Linked DNA regions of Arabidopsis thaliana. The protein of the gene in region 1 interacts with the protein of each later gene in a pairwise test. Each region holds a gene or a part of one and is shown on either strand. Other genes may lie near its edges.

Region 1 (4,477 bases):
TTTAAAAAAAAACTCGTGGGTACCCATAACCCAATGAGGTAAACCCATATGGATTTTATTTATTTGGGTACCCAGCCCATTTTAAACCTGTGTTTTTTTTCCAGAAAAAGTAAATATATGGGTTTAAAATTTTATGTGGGTTTTGGGTACCCAGTGAGTTTTAACCCATCATTAACATCTCTAATTTAAACAATATAAAATATTCAAAAAACTAAAACATTAATGGTAAAAAATGGTTACACCGCTAGTGGAATGAAAAATACATACGGTGCAACAATCGGCAAAAAAGATCCAAGATATTTAAAACCGATGAAGAGCACATCTATTGTATTTTAATATTCATCCTTTGTAAAATCCAAACAATGTATTTTTTTAAACTCACAAAACTCTTTAATTCTTTTCTATTTAGAATTTTTTTTATTTTGTATGGTTTGAGATTTCATCTCGTTTTCCTTTTTCGTATTTTGATTTCCATTTTTGTTTGTCAATTCTTCTCAGTTTCTCTTTTTAACTGCCTAATTTTTTTTAAAAATGTCGAACATGGGTTATTAGCGAATTTTGGAGGTCACGATACATCATAATTTCTGAATTTAGAGACCCTAAAATGTTAATATATTTCTGGGATTTGAGGCAAATGCCTTTTTTGTTAACCTATAGTCACGGTCAGGCCAAACATATATATAAACGTCTTAGACTTCACTTCATAGTCTGGTTTAAACAGTCACAGACTCATAGTACATGGTCCCAAATAATTTCAAATCTCATGCAAAAAGAAAGAAATACTAGTCCACGTGACTTATGTCAAAATTAACTACGTAAAATGTTCAAAATTAGAGTGTGTAAGCAAGATAAAGGAATTCTAATTAAAACTTGGAAGAGTAATGTAGCTAATAATATATAACAATAGAAAAACCCCATGAATGGAGAGATCTAAAACAAAAAACAAACAACATAGAGCACTTACCACGTGCAAAAATAACCTCAAATATTACTTTACATTCGATATTAATTTTAAACGCTTCATAGTGATGTAAGAAATAGAAAGATGTATCAGGCTTTGATCTGGAACCTTGAACACTTGATCGATCCGATGGAAATGTCGATTTCGATGAGATTATCGTCTTCATACTCGGCTGATAATTGGATAAGCCTGAAATCTGGGATGTTGTTGTACATGATCTTTTGATCTTGTTTACCAATCATAGTACTATAGTGGTGGCCAATGTAATGGCCGCTTGGTAAGGAGAGCTCTATGAGACTTTCCTCATCAGGGATTGTCCCGTCATCTTCGTCATTATTTTTGACAATATCATTAGTGGTCGTAGATGATAGTTCAGTCTCTCCTAAGTAGTCTTGTTGACTAAGATCTTGAACCTTGGAGTTTGGTTTTTGGATTGAGAGAGGGAAGAAGAAAGATGAGAAGAACAATGCAGCTGAGGTTAGGATGATTTGCGAGAACCCAAGTCCTATGATGTGAAGAAGTGGTGGGGCAAGAAAAGACAACCATGACACTGGTCTCTTAAAACGCAATAAAATAAAACTCATGACCCCTTCGTTCATTTTTATGCTCTCAAGATTCATATGAAAGCAATTACTTTGTAGTTCCACCAAAAAAGATAGAAGAAATAAGATTTCAACCATTTTATATCCTCAGATCCAAAAACAAAAAATGAGAAGAGATGATGTGTGATCGAAAAACTTTTCAACAACAAAAACCCTAGAAAAAATGGGTTGATGTAAAAAAAACAAAAACTGGAAAAGGAGACAAAAGAGTTATAGCTTACGATCGTTTACTTAAATGTTGAGCAAGACAATTAGATTCGACTCTAGGAAAAACAAAAATGGGAATTAGAAAGAGGGAGAAGAACTCCAAAAAAGTTTAATACGTAAATGTACTTCAAATAATCAAAACGGAAAAGGGCTTATAAATAGGTGATTAGGAAGAAGATTTAGCATAAACTATTATATTTTTTCTTTGTTTTCTGCATCTAGATTTGAGGAGTAACAGCTCCCCAACTGGTCCCCATATGCAAAATTTGGAAATACCTATATAAAAATAAAATTCTGGATACCGAGATTAGTCTAGATTTGTTTAGATTATATAGTAGAGTTGAAATACCCAAAACAATTTTGAAAAGATAATTTCTTTTGTATCTTATGTGACGCTATATAATATTTTGAGATTTGTTTTATAATATTTAATATATATTCTATATTAGTCAAAATATTTCAAAATAGTTCATGTAACATTTATGATTTTTAACATATTATTGTATTTTTCTTTCATTTAATCTCGTATATTCTGTAAATTTCGAATTTTGAAAAGAATTACTCTAGTGAAAAGAAATGAGAATGGAAAAACAAAAAAACGACAAAATAAAATAAAATAAATAATCTAACCACAAAATCTATTCTTTTGGAATCGGAGAAGCCAAAAGGCCAAGACCCTTAACTAAACCTTTTAGTTGTACTTGCTCGCCCACCAAGGCTTAAGAGTGTCGGTGAGCCATGTGCAAGCCTCCCTGCTTACCACCTGGCGACACTTTCATTCACTACAATCCAAAGATAACCCAAGTTGACTTGCTAGATCTACGATTGTAGATTTTAAAAACACTTTTATGCTTGAAGCTCCAATTTTAATTACTTCTATTTGAAATAGATATTTTGTTATTTTTTTTTCAACAATATTTATTGGTTATTTTTTTTTTATTTTTTTTTTTTTGTGAAAATTCAATTTATATACGAACTTTCTCTATTACGATTTAGTTGTCGCTTTAATATTTATTTATAATAGTTGTTTTAAATTTTTAATGTATATGTTTTGGAAAAAAAATTTAGTTTTAAAGTGTTTGAGCAAAAGTAAAATAATTTTTTTATTGTTTTTTTAATTTATGTGCAAAAATTTAAAACTAAAAATAATTTACAATGGAGTGAATATTACTTGACGTAATATTTTGGGCTGAATTTAATGAATGTTTGAGTTAGTCCAAATATTTCATACATGTAATGCCACTTGTTGCTTACGCCACACTTTCATAGAAGGGTGTATATTGTTGTTGCACATTATTTTGGGTGTAACGAGAAGGAAACAAAGAAAAAGAAAGAGTATTTGAGAGTGAGAGGATGTGTGTGTCCCCTAAGACTGAACATGCTTATTTTCGGACTATTAACAACAAATTTATAAATTTCACGCACCGAGAAATGCCGAGACCAATTTTTAGGCAATTTAAACAAATTTATTCGGAAAATTTTTCTTTTAAATCTTTTTTTTCCATTTAGTTGATTTAAATCCTTAACTTATTCTTCTTTTATATAAATATATATATATATATAGTAAGTTTTTTTTTACTTTTTATTTAAATACCAAACTTTTGTTAAGTTTGTAATTTTGATCATGTGGTTAAGTCAATTAAAGAAACAAACTAACGAAATTAAATATTCCTTATCAATCTCTACTAAACTATAAAACGACATCATTTTGATTATTTTTTTTAATGATCCATTATAAAATTGAAATTTATTACGTTAAGATAAATCTAGGAGTGTTAAAATGGGTAACCCAACCCAACCCAACCCATAACTCATTTAATTTGATGGGTTGAGTTGTTAAATGAGTTAACCTATTTAAGTAATAATTTAATTAATTATTATTATAAAACAATAATAAATAATTATTATTATTACTAATTATTAATTCATTATCATCAAACTTAAGATATTCACGGATTTTACTTTTTATGGGTTTACATTTTTGGCGGAAAGTTATAGATTTACGTTTTTGGCGGGAAAATCACGGGTTTACATTTTTTTGGCGGGAAAATTACGGGTGTACGTTTCTGAGGGGAAATCACGGTTTTCCGTTTTTGCGGGAAAATCACGGGTTTACGTTTTTGGCGGGAAAATTACGGGTTTACGTTTTTGGCTGGAAAATCACGGGTTTACGTTTTTGGCGGGAAAATTACGGGTTTACGTTTTTGGCTGGAAAATCACGGGTTTACGTTTTTGGCGGAAAAATCACGGGTTTACGTTTTTGGCGAAAAAATAACGGGTTTACGTTTTTGGCTGGAAAATCACGGGTTTACGTTTTTGGCAGGAAAATCACGGGTTTACGTTTTTGGCGGGAAAATCACGGGTTTACGTTTTTGGCGGGAAAATCACGGGTTTATGTTTTTTGGTGGAAAAATTACGAGTTTACGTCTTCTCAATTTTATCTCTGTATATTTAAGAAATTTGGAAAAATATTAATTTTATTAAATTGGTTTAGATGTGTTGGTTAAACTTAAATTGGTATTGGTTTAAAGATTTTAGTTGGTTTAATTCAATTTTACAAAACTTGATGGGTTAATTGGGTAAACCATTGAAACCATTAACCATTACAACTCAACTCATTTTACTCATCAAACCAATTGATCCAATAACTCATTTGACCCATCAACTCATTTGAGTCAAAAATTTTAACTCATTAGGGTTCATGGGT
Region 2 (5,997 bases), on another chromosome or scaffold:
ATATTTGAGTCTGCACTTTCCCCAACTTTTATCTTCATCCACTGAAGTTGGTTCTAAGATAATTTTAGTCTGAATACGTGCTTGGTATTATTAGTAAGTCAATAAACATGAATTGGGGTAATCAAATGGAAGTAGACAACAAGTGATCATGCTTTGATTGGTGACTAACCTGCCAATAATCGTAGGATTGCTGACTAACACTTACTAAAAATCATATATTTTAACAAGAAACAAATTAAGAGATTTGATGTGATATACAATATCAAGCAATCTTATGCAACAAGAATGATGGGTTGTAGATGAGTAACGAAACATGATGACTCAAGCTGTAGATCAAATATGAAGTTTGCACCAAATGAGTCTTTTATTTTTTTAGTTTACCAAGCAACTAACAAAGAATCATATGGTTTGGTTTGAGGAAGCGGTATCTACGATGAACTCGACCAGGTGCTGAAGATTTCGATGATCATATTCATAGTATACTTACTCTCCTCTGTTTTTGACGCCTACTTTAAATTCTAGTGTTTTTTCTTCTCGAGTTGTTTTGTTTTTCTTTATAATTAAGCACAATGATATATTAATGTCGTATGGAATCATATTTATGAACTCTAGGTAGTTTTTCTAATACCTAATCAGCTACTGGTTAGCATATAAAAATATAGGAGAATTGTGAACATGAGTATATATGGATGATCTACAAGGATATCAATGTTTTTGAATGTCATGTTTTGATATTCTGGTTATGTTTATAAAGACAAAAGGAGATAAACAATAAAGAATTAAACAATATACTTTTTAACAAACAAAATTTATCAGCGGCCAGCTTCAATGTCAAGCAATGCTACATTCTTGACGCTGTCATAACCACGGCTATTGGTATCGCCTTGGGAAGACACGATGTTGCTACCAAGCAAGTGTAAATTCTCCTCTCGATACTGATCCGACCAATTATGTTTGGTTGTTTTGACGCTCAAAGTTTCTAGCTCTACAGCTACTTCTTTCATCCTTGGCCTTTCTTTTCCCATTAGCCTTGTACACTCTGCAGCAATTCTTGCAGCTTCCTGGATCTCCTTCAGATTATCCTCGTTCAACACTTGGTCGTCAATAATCTCATGCAACCTATTCTCTTCCGTGGCAGAAACAAAGTAACTCACCAAATGTTTTGAAGCCTGTGGCCGTTCAAAGCACAATGCCTTTTGACCTGAGAGCAGTTCCATGAGGACTACCCCAAAGCTATACACATCGCTCTTCTCGTTCAGAAGCCCTGTGGTATAGTATTCTGGGTCTAAATAGCCTAGAGTGCCTTGCACCATAGTATACCAAGTAAAGGAAAATATGAACATGATTATTGATGATGAACAAACAAGCTCTCAAAGCATATTGATGAAGCAACAAATAAGTGGTTTTCTTTTTTTACAAACAAAAGAGATACATGTGATTTTGTGAGCAATATCAGCGGCCAGTTTCAATGTCCAATATTGCTACATTTTTGATGCTATCATAGCCAATGCTGCTACTGGTTTCGCCTTGTGCAGACAAGATGTGACCACCAATCAAGTGTTCATTCTCCTCAGGATACTGATCCGACCACTTATGTTTGGTTTTCTCGACCCTCAAGGCTTCTAGCTTTGCAGCTACTTCTTTCATCCTTGGCCTTTCCTCTCCCATTAGCCTTGTACACTCTGCAGCAATTCTTGCAGCTTCCTGGATCTCCTTCAGATTATCCTCGTTCAACACTTGGTCGTCAATAATCTCATGCAACCTATTCTCTTCCGTGGCAGAAACAAAGTAACTCACCAAATGTTTTGAAGCCTGTGGCCGTTCAAAGCACAATGCCTTTTGACCTGAGAGCAGTTCCATGAGGACTACCCCAAAGCTATACACATCGCTCTTCTCGTTCAGAAGCCCTGTGGTATAGTATTCTGGGTCTAAATAGCCTAGAGTGCCTTGCACCATAGTTGTGAGCTGCTCTTTATCCATTGGTATAAGCTTAGAAGCGCCAAAGTCGGCTACTTTTGCAGTTAAGTTTTCATCCAAGAGAATATTTGCAGTTTTGATATCGCGATGGATGATTGGAATAGAAGCAGAGGAGTGAAGATAAGCAAGAGTTCCAGCGACTTCTATCGCTATTCTGAGGCGGTGTTCCCATGTAAGAGAAGAATCAAAAATGGAACCGTGCAAGTGATCGAAAAGGGTGCCATTGGTAATGAATTCATAGACCAACAAGGGGACTTCAGTCTCTAGACAGCAACCCAAGATCTTGACCACGTTCCTGTGGTTAATTTGTGAAAGCACGAGCACTTCGTGGATGAACTGATCTACTTGTCTACTGTCTGCAAGCCGAGCTTTCTTTATAGCAACGATAGTGTTGTCCGGCAATATCCCTTTGTAGACTGTTCCTTGACCTCCCTGGCCCAAGATTCTGCTCTCATCATAGCCATTAGTTGCCTCTTTCATGCCTTCCTCAGTAAAGATTTTGAAATCAATGTTTGACAACCCTGCTCCTGAAAGTCGCTGTATCAACATGCCACCACCATTTTGCTCAAAGAATTGTCGTCGGAGCTTGGTATACTTCCTTTGCTTCGTTGCATGTTGTATACAGATCGCAGCAAGCAGGAGGACCAAGACGCCGATTATGATTACTGATAACATCATGCATAGATGATTAGAGCGAGTTGATTTAAAGAGAATCTAGAACCAGTGAAGAGTGTTTACCAAGAAAAATTCGAGTCCGTTTGTATTCGGGCCTCGTGCAGCTCATACTGGAGTTTAAGTCGTAACCAGATGGACACTTACAATCGAAGCCTCCATCCCTGTTTCTACAGGTTTTTGGATCCGAACAGTTATGTGTATCACTAATACACTCATCGATGTCTGACCAAAGGAATAAGTGCACAAGATGCAACCAAAAACGTATGAGGAAGATTATAAACACTCAAAAGAAGAAAGAAAGCAAAGAAATTAATATGAAGTACCTTTGCAACCCTCTGAACGGTATGGATTCCCATCATAACCTTCATTACATTTGCAGATATACCCGTTTCTAGTAGTAGAATTGTAACATGAGCTGTTCTTACCGCATATTCTTGTGCTTCCAGCTTGCTCACATGTCTGGTTTCCAATAGACCAATCTAGTGCCACAGGGAACCTCGTGACATTCCTCAGATTCTTAAGATCTTTTGAAGAATCGAAGTTAAACTTACCATCTTCAACGAGAAAAGCGTAGGTGCAAGGATTAAACTGATATACCGAAGTATTAAATAGATCTAAGGAATTATTAACTTGGTTTCTCAAGCGAACTGAGCCAAATTGGAATGTATCGCTATCGAACGGGACAGAGAAGTCCTCTGTTGTGCAGCAACCTACACCATTACATCTTCCATTTGCCTCTGGTTGAGAATTGCATAATGACAAGCATCCAGTTGAGTAGTTTTGCTTTCCAAAAGTGCTCAAAAGTGATAAAGCGTTACATCCTACTAAAGTAAACTTGTTGTTGGAGGAGAGAGAGAAACTACTACCCAGCTGATACCCGAGGGCAGTTCCATTAGTCTCATTTTTCTGCTCGTAGCATTCAGAGAATCGTTCAAACAGTACACTTACATGGCCACTGTGAGAAATATTGGTCACTTGAATGATGCCAAAGAGTAGTAGCTTCTCTTCCACGACACAGGTGAGATTGAAATTATCATCTCCGGGATAGTAACAACCTGTAGAAATACCAAAAGGGTACTCTATTGTGACGTTTCCACATTTAAGTTTACAATCTTCGCGAGGTTGATGTTGCCCCTTCACAAGCTGAGTATATGCAAGGAAGAAAATAACCACCAAGAACACACCCTCCTGGAACTTCATCTTCTACCTTTCTCTTTCTTTCTCTCTAAACTTGTTTCTCTTTGAGTTTTCTCTCATCGCTTATTCGCTTCTTATAGCTTGAAAAGTAACCCCTGATTTGACATTGTTGAATAATCAAATGTGAAGAAAAGTAAAGATTCAGACTACTAGACGTTAGAAAAATATAAATGCGTCAACTTCTTTATCTGTCCTTTCTTTCTTGTCTTGATTTTTCCAGGAAACTCCAATTTATTGTTCATATATGAAAGTCTCGTTATAGTGACAATGTAGGAATAAGACTCATCATGATCACAACATGCTCTGTTTTCTTCTGCTGTCGTAATAGTAGAAATATGTAGTTTTTTTGTGTGTGTGTGTGTGTTGAGTTTATAAATGTCAACAAGTTTTCGAAGAATTTGAATAGTTCTTGCCTCATGTGTCATGTCGCTGCTTACTCTTCAAGAGGTTATCTATGAGAAATTTCCATGCAAATCCACCACTTTGTTAGAAACTGAATCTCCTTCTAGAAACAGAACAGAGTTAAGAACAGAGAAAGAGAATCAGACTTTGTATCACAATTGGTTTGATCGTCAACATAACAATAAAGAGAAGAACTTGTCTTTCTATTATAGAGAAAGTGAAATACAACAACTGTTTTACAAGGTTTACAACAATTAACTTAAATACAAACCAACAGACATGAAAAGTCAAGAGTTATGACTCTTCTTTCTTGTGACACAACAAACATAACTACTTTAACTTAACAGACACGACACTTAAGTAATATATTACAAACCAAACTCAATTACGACCAGCACTCTTTCACCGAAAGAAACCAGATTCATTCAAAGAAACTGAGGGAAAATCTTGAGAAAAAACTGAAAATACACTGTTTGATGATTAAAATAATCTTTGACAGACCAGACTTAGAGATTTTAAGGGTATAGTAGAGGTAGCTTTCTCAATTTACTAAAGATCAGAGTTTTAACAAAAAAGGAAAATTTGATGGTTACAAAACCACAACAATCTTATGCAGCAAGAATGATAATTTAATTTAGAAAACGCAGTATTAAAATTTTAATAACAGAGCAATATATGAGTCAAGTTGTTTATCAAATAGTCAAGTTGTTCTTTCATACTTTCAAAGCCTTGTATCAAAAACGTTATTTTTCTTGAATATAATTTAACATTACATTCAAAAAAAAAAAAAAAAAAAAAATGTCAAGTTGTTCTTTTGGAGTTACGTACATACCACGCATCTTAAGTTAGAGATTTCTCGTTTACTAGTTTTTACTTCTCATGTAGTTGTGCATATGTTTGTTTATTACTGATCTAATTCCAAAATCATATGTTAACTTGTTTACATTTTTGTCTTCGTCTTGTTGCTCGTGGATATATATAATTGCATCTTTGTAATCATTTCATCATAATATCGATCACGTTGACGGAGAGTGCTTTTCTAGAATCCACCAAATTTTCTCATGTTTTCACTATATATATTACTTATGGTTAAAGATCATAAATTTTTAACAAAATAAGAAAACTTGATGGCTTCAAAACCAGAGCAATCTTATGCAGCAAGAATGATTTTGTTAATTTAGAAAACGCAGTATTAAATTATAGATGCCAGTACCAAAACAATATATGAGTCAAGCTGTGGATCAAATAGGATGTTTTAAGCAACTGAGCCCTTTAAATTCGAGTTATTGTTTTGCAACCACAACAGTATATCAATATCTCTGCTAGTAGATTCATGAATTCTTAATTTTTCTCATACCGAATCGTCTACTGGTTAGCTTACCAATCGAATGGAGTTATAAAATGAATAATTGATGATCTACAACGGATCTCTCGAGCATAAATGTTCTTGAATATCATGTTTTGATACTCTGTTTTTTTTGAAGTGTTAGGAAACATATAGGACATAAGCAATAAATAAGTGGCTTTACTTTTTCACAAACAAAAGATTGATAAATATCAGCGGCCAGTTTCAATGTCCAACCTTGTTACATTCTGGATGCTGTCATAGCCAATGCTACTGGTATCACCTTGCGTCGATAAGATTTGAACACCAAGCAAATGCTCAACCTCCTTGGGATATTGATCTGACCACTGATGTTTGGTTGTTTTGACTCTCAAGGCCTCTAACTCTGCAGCTACTTCTTT
Region 3 (4,518 bases), about 12 Mb from region 1:
CATTTCCAAGGTCTATAAAGATAGATGGTACCTCTTTGTTTGGGATGGAACTGAGATGCCACCCTGCAACATCTTGGTTAAGTAAGTCTGAATTTCCTCAACCAAAATACAACGAGTAAAAATAAGTTTCTCTTATGCGTCTTATATTCATTTACTAGATTTTGGTCATATATCCCAAACGTGTTACTCATCTCACTCTGTTTTTGTTTGCAATCATAATAGGTCAGAAAGGCTTCCTTTATGTGTAGAACCCGAGATGTTGCCTACATACATGTTACGTAAGTTTCCTACTTTTGGTTCCGTTTTGAGGATCATAGTAGATAGAGTTAGTGAGAAGCAGGCCATTCACTGTCTTCAACCTGGTCAACACGTGAAGCTTCTGAACCTTTTCTTTCAAGTAAATATGGGATTATGGAACGCCACTTTTACTCCCTCTACAAAGATGCAGTACACAATGAGCAGAGAGATGGAAGCCTTTAGTCCTCAAAGGTTTCTGCTGACACCTTTTCTTATCCTGTGAGTTGATGTTCTGCTTCGTCCGTTTGTTCTTCAGTTTAAAACACACTTTCTTACCATTTCAGAATGTGTGGGGAGAAGTTTTCACCGAGATGGAACCCAATCGCGCGTTGCATTAGTCGTTCACATTCTGAAATCACAGGTAATAACCAGCTAATTGTTTGGAATTGTGGAAATTTGACATAACGTTTAATATAATACTTATGGTTTAATCTTTTCTAGGGGTTGCCCATGACGATGCTCCATTTGTTTCTCTGATGGACATCCTGACCTATCACAATGTAATGTATCCAAAAACCTTGGATTTATCATAAGTTGTAGGAAAAGAGTATAGTGAAAACTTTCTTGAATTGATGTTTTACTGATGCTTATTATGCAGGTGACTGCTAAATTCAGGTGTGTTGTTCGGTTCATACAAGTGTATCCCCGAGACGTCAGAAAACTCCGTGATATCAACGGAAATATCAAATTGGTAGCTATACTAGAAGATGCAACCGCCAGAATCCATGCTTCTCTATATGCTGATGAAGGGGTAAGTAAAACACGATTAATTATTAGTGTTCATTGAAGGATTGTCTAATACTTATATCTGTATATCTTTTTACAGGAAAAGTTTTTCGGGTGTGACGAATCTGATGAAGAGGCTCTAGTCAAGAAGCTGAATAGATTGTTGGGAGGTGAAGAGATGGAGAAAGTGCCAAGAAATCCTCCATGGGTACAATGTTGCTTGTTCTCATTCTACAAACACAAAATGGATCAGTGGGAAAGCAGAAGATTCCGCATTTTTGATACTTGGATCAATGCTTCATGAGACAATCATAATGCTAATTGTATAGTTATTAGCATTAAACAAAATGTGATTATTTATTTACATGGAACCATACAATAAAACATTACATAAGAAAAATATCTCTCTCCAACGATATGTATGGAAGATAATAAAGCAAAACAATCTAAAATAAGAATCAATAAACAAGTGTAATATGATGAACTCGAAGAAGACTATAATAGCATTGACTCTTGACTAGCAATCAAAAGTCAACGTCACACTTGGTCGGCTGAAAAACAAACCCGCTGGTTGAATTAGAGGTAAGAGGAACCTTGAGATCGCACTTGATCTTGGGCTTGAACCTCCACGACTTGATCAACCCAAACTTAAACCTAATCTTAAGTCTCAGCTTGGCATCGATCCTATAGATCTGAGAATTCACATCCTCGTTCAAATCCTTCCTCTCTCCGCCGTCAAGCAGCACCAATTGCTGTCCCACGAGTTTAGTTCCAACCACCGTCGTGTTCTTATGTCCCTGGTAAAACTTCGAGATGTTGTTACTCATACCGAATCGCTGATCACCGTAGTATCCTCTGACTTCGATTTCATCATAGTAAACACCGATCCGGCGGTTAGGGTTACGGATTGTGAAATTGAGATCGAGATTGTATCGGAGGTTGTTGGTTGGGTCGAGTGTGAATTCGGTGAGTTTAGCGTCGGTGACGTGGAATTTGATAGCGTTGGGTCTGAAAATGAGCCAGATGATTAGAGCAGCTATGCCTAATAAGACGGCTATGGTTATGAGGATGTTGAAGATGACGCTTAAGATACAGCAGCCGCAGCAGCCAAGACAGTCACCTAAACAACCGCATCCACCGCCGCGTCTGCCGTGGCTGTGAGAGACTTTCTTCGGCGGTGGAATCGATGGTCCGTAATACGCACCGTTTAAGTCCGCCATCTGTTCGTTAAAATGCCTCAGAGAACGATTTTGAAAGAAAGTTTTTTTTGGTTTGTGATAAGATTTTGAAAAAGTAAATATGATTTGAAGTGAAGAAGAAGAGGCCGTAATATATATACACTGTAGAGATAACGTGTATTAGATAAAACGATTTAATTTGACGCGGTTTTGTTTTTTCAAAGTCAAAGGTGACGCGTCGGTTTAATATTGTTCGATGAAAATTTGATTTAAGTAGAGGTTACTTGCGAGATTGTTATTAGATATTTAGGATTAACAGTTTGATATACATTAAAGATTGTTTCTTAAATTTTACTATATGGTTTCTTCTTCAATTTGACTATGTATACTTTGGTTAAGCTTAATGAGATTATTTCTTGAATCCATATATACATGATTTGGTGATTAATGAGGTTAGTGCCGATCGCATACAAGAATATCCATATGTAGATATTTATTTATATATTCTTTTATTATATAAGACATGTGAGAATGTGATGATACTTAGTGCGGTAGTTAGTTTGTGAATTGTGAATAGTCATTTTTACAATGTAACTAAGCTTCCGAGAAACTTCCCCAAAAGCGACTGCTCTAATATAGCCATTGTTTCTTAAACTTGACGAAAGACTTTTGAGAACAAAAATAGAAAATGTGGCCAAAATATCAATAAGCCTATACAAAGTTAGAAAAAGACAAACCAGTCCCGGTCAAGAATTTCGACATTATATATATAACATGATGAAATGAAATAACTTTGATCTATAGGTTGCAAGTTGAAACTGAGGTGGGGTTTTCCAAATGTTTATTTTATAACTATGAGAACAGTTCTACTGATAAAGGTTATTTAATTAATTATCAATTAATGAAAATGTTTAATGTGAAAGATTTCTCAAATTCAAAGAAAATTAAACATTGCAAAGACTTGTTAATGTTATAATGCTAAAAGCAAGGAAAACTAAGGGAGGTTGGTGTTTAGAGTTGGATGATGTGACCTGTAATTGAAAGGAAGATTAGGTGAAGCCATGCTTTCAAATGTTTACATCTTTCTTCAATGAGAAAGGTCAAGCATATTTAATAAAGAATAATAATACTAGATCGCAACTCAATCATATTAAACTTTAAAACAACTATGGAGGATTTATAAAAACAAATGTAACAACTAAAAAAAGTATTCTTATAATATGAGATGTAATGTGTTTTATTTATTTATTAAAGTAGTCAATGTAGTTTAAGAAATTTTTATGTGTTATACGGTATAACAATAATTTTCATTGTATATGATAAGTAATACACAATAATTTTAAAGAAAAACCTGGTGATGAACAAACGTGTTTGAAAAACTTGTTAGAGTTTAATGCGGTGTCAATGTGTGTGGTGATAAAACATTAAACTAAATTAGACAACAAATATTTCACGAAGACTCCTTCAATCTTAGCCGTTTGGACGAAATAGATCATTGGAATTGGACAAATAAATGATGAAGACTTTGGTTGTTCTTAGGGTTTTGAAAATGGAGGAACCGACGACCGATCCCTATCTACTCAATTCCGATATTCATCCGAATAAATTATTGAGAAATTGCGTTGAATAGATGTCCACTAAAGTTTAAATGGACATATATCTAAGGAAGTAACATATAGGGTATACTTTTCATGTAATCTATTACTAATTCTAATTTGGTGGTTGTCACCATAATTTTGTGTTGTTAATCATTGTTAAAATCTGGAATACAATACGACTCGAAAGTCGAAACTGTATCGTGTTAACCAGTGGACCAATGATACAACTCCATGATTCATTTTACTTACGTTATCCTTTGGTTATGAATGTTTATTCTATGTTTTGGTTATGAATTTCTCTAGATGAACAAAATCGAATCTTTATGTATATATTCAAGTCTTGATCATTTACACGCTTAATAAAATGTATGACTTCAAAAAGGCAAAAAGGGAAGGTTATGTAGACAATTGTGTGTTTTTATCATCTGCTTTTTTACAGTATAACTTCGGTTCCAAACTAGGATTGTATATTCATGGATTGATGGGCGTAAAGTTTCTCATCATGCTGATCAATTACCTAGATTACGTATGGCAAATTTTCAGTACAATGTTTCGAAGATTTTCAATTAAAATTATGTTTATATACAAACTGGATTCGGCAGCGTGTATATGTACAAAGGAAACAAAACACGTGGGAGTTAGTAGATAAATGGGACTAAGATTAAAAAATTGCATAAAAAATCGTTCACAAACACATCAAATATTTGTTGGTGACGAAT

The links. The genes of interacting proteins can lie anywhere in the genome.
Region 2: the proteins of AT5G35870 (region 1) and WAK3 interact in a protein complementation assay, tested with the Arabidopsis thaliana proteins (one large-scale study listed by BioGRID).
Region 3: the proteins of AT5G35870 (region 1) and NHL3 interact in a protein complementation assay, tested with the Arabidopsis thaliana proteins (one large-scale study listed by BioGRID).

Annotation. Positions count from the first base shown.
Region 1 is NC_003076.8:14,018,186-14,022,662, reverse strand, and holds AT5G35870 (uncharacterized protein), read right to left. Parts: upstream 1,885-4,477; 5' UTR 1,642-1,884; coding exon 1,051-1,641; 3' UTR 963-1,050; downstream 1-962.
Region 2 is NC_003070.9:7,432,158-7,438,154, reverse strand, and holds WAK3 (wall associated kinase 3), read right to left. Parts: upstream 3,921-5,997; 5' UTR 3,853-3,920; coding exon 2,976-3,852; intron 2,875-2,975; coding exon 2,716-2,874; intron 2,643-2,715; coding exon 1,453-2,642; 3' UTR 1,325-1,452; downstream 1-1,324. Other genes in the region: AT1G21245 (Protein kinase superfamily protein), read right to left, coding at 813-1,313; WAK5 (wall associated kinase 5), read right to left, coding at 5,809-5,997. UniProt on the Arabidopsis thaliana protein: Serine/threonine-protein kinase that may function as a signaling receptor of extracellular matrix component. Binding to pectin may have significance in the control of cell expansion, morphogenesis and development.
Region 3 is NC_003076.8:1,929,469-1,933,986, forward strand, and holds NHL3 (NDR1/HIN1-like 3), read right to left. Parts: upstream 2,301-4,518; 5' UTR 2,244-2,300; coding exon 1,548-2,243; 3' UTR 1,328-1,547; downstream 1-1,327. Other genes in the region: AtPOT1b (Nucleic acid-binding, OB-fold-like protein), read left to right, coding at 1-81, 223-489, 582-658, 739-797, 896-1,048, 1,124-1,327. UniProt on the Arabidopsis thaliana protein: Confers resistance to Pseudomonas syringae pv. tomato DC3000 (Pst DC3000).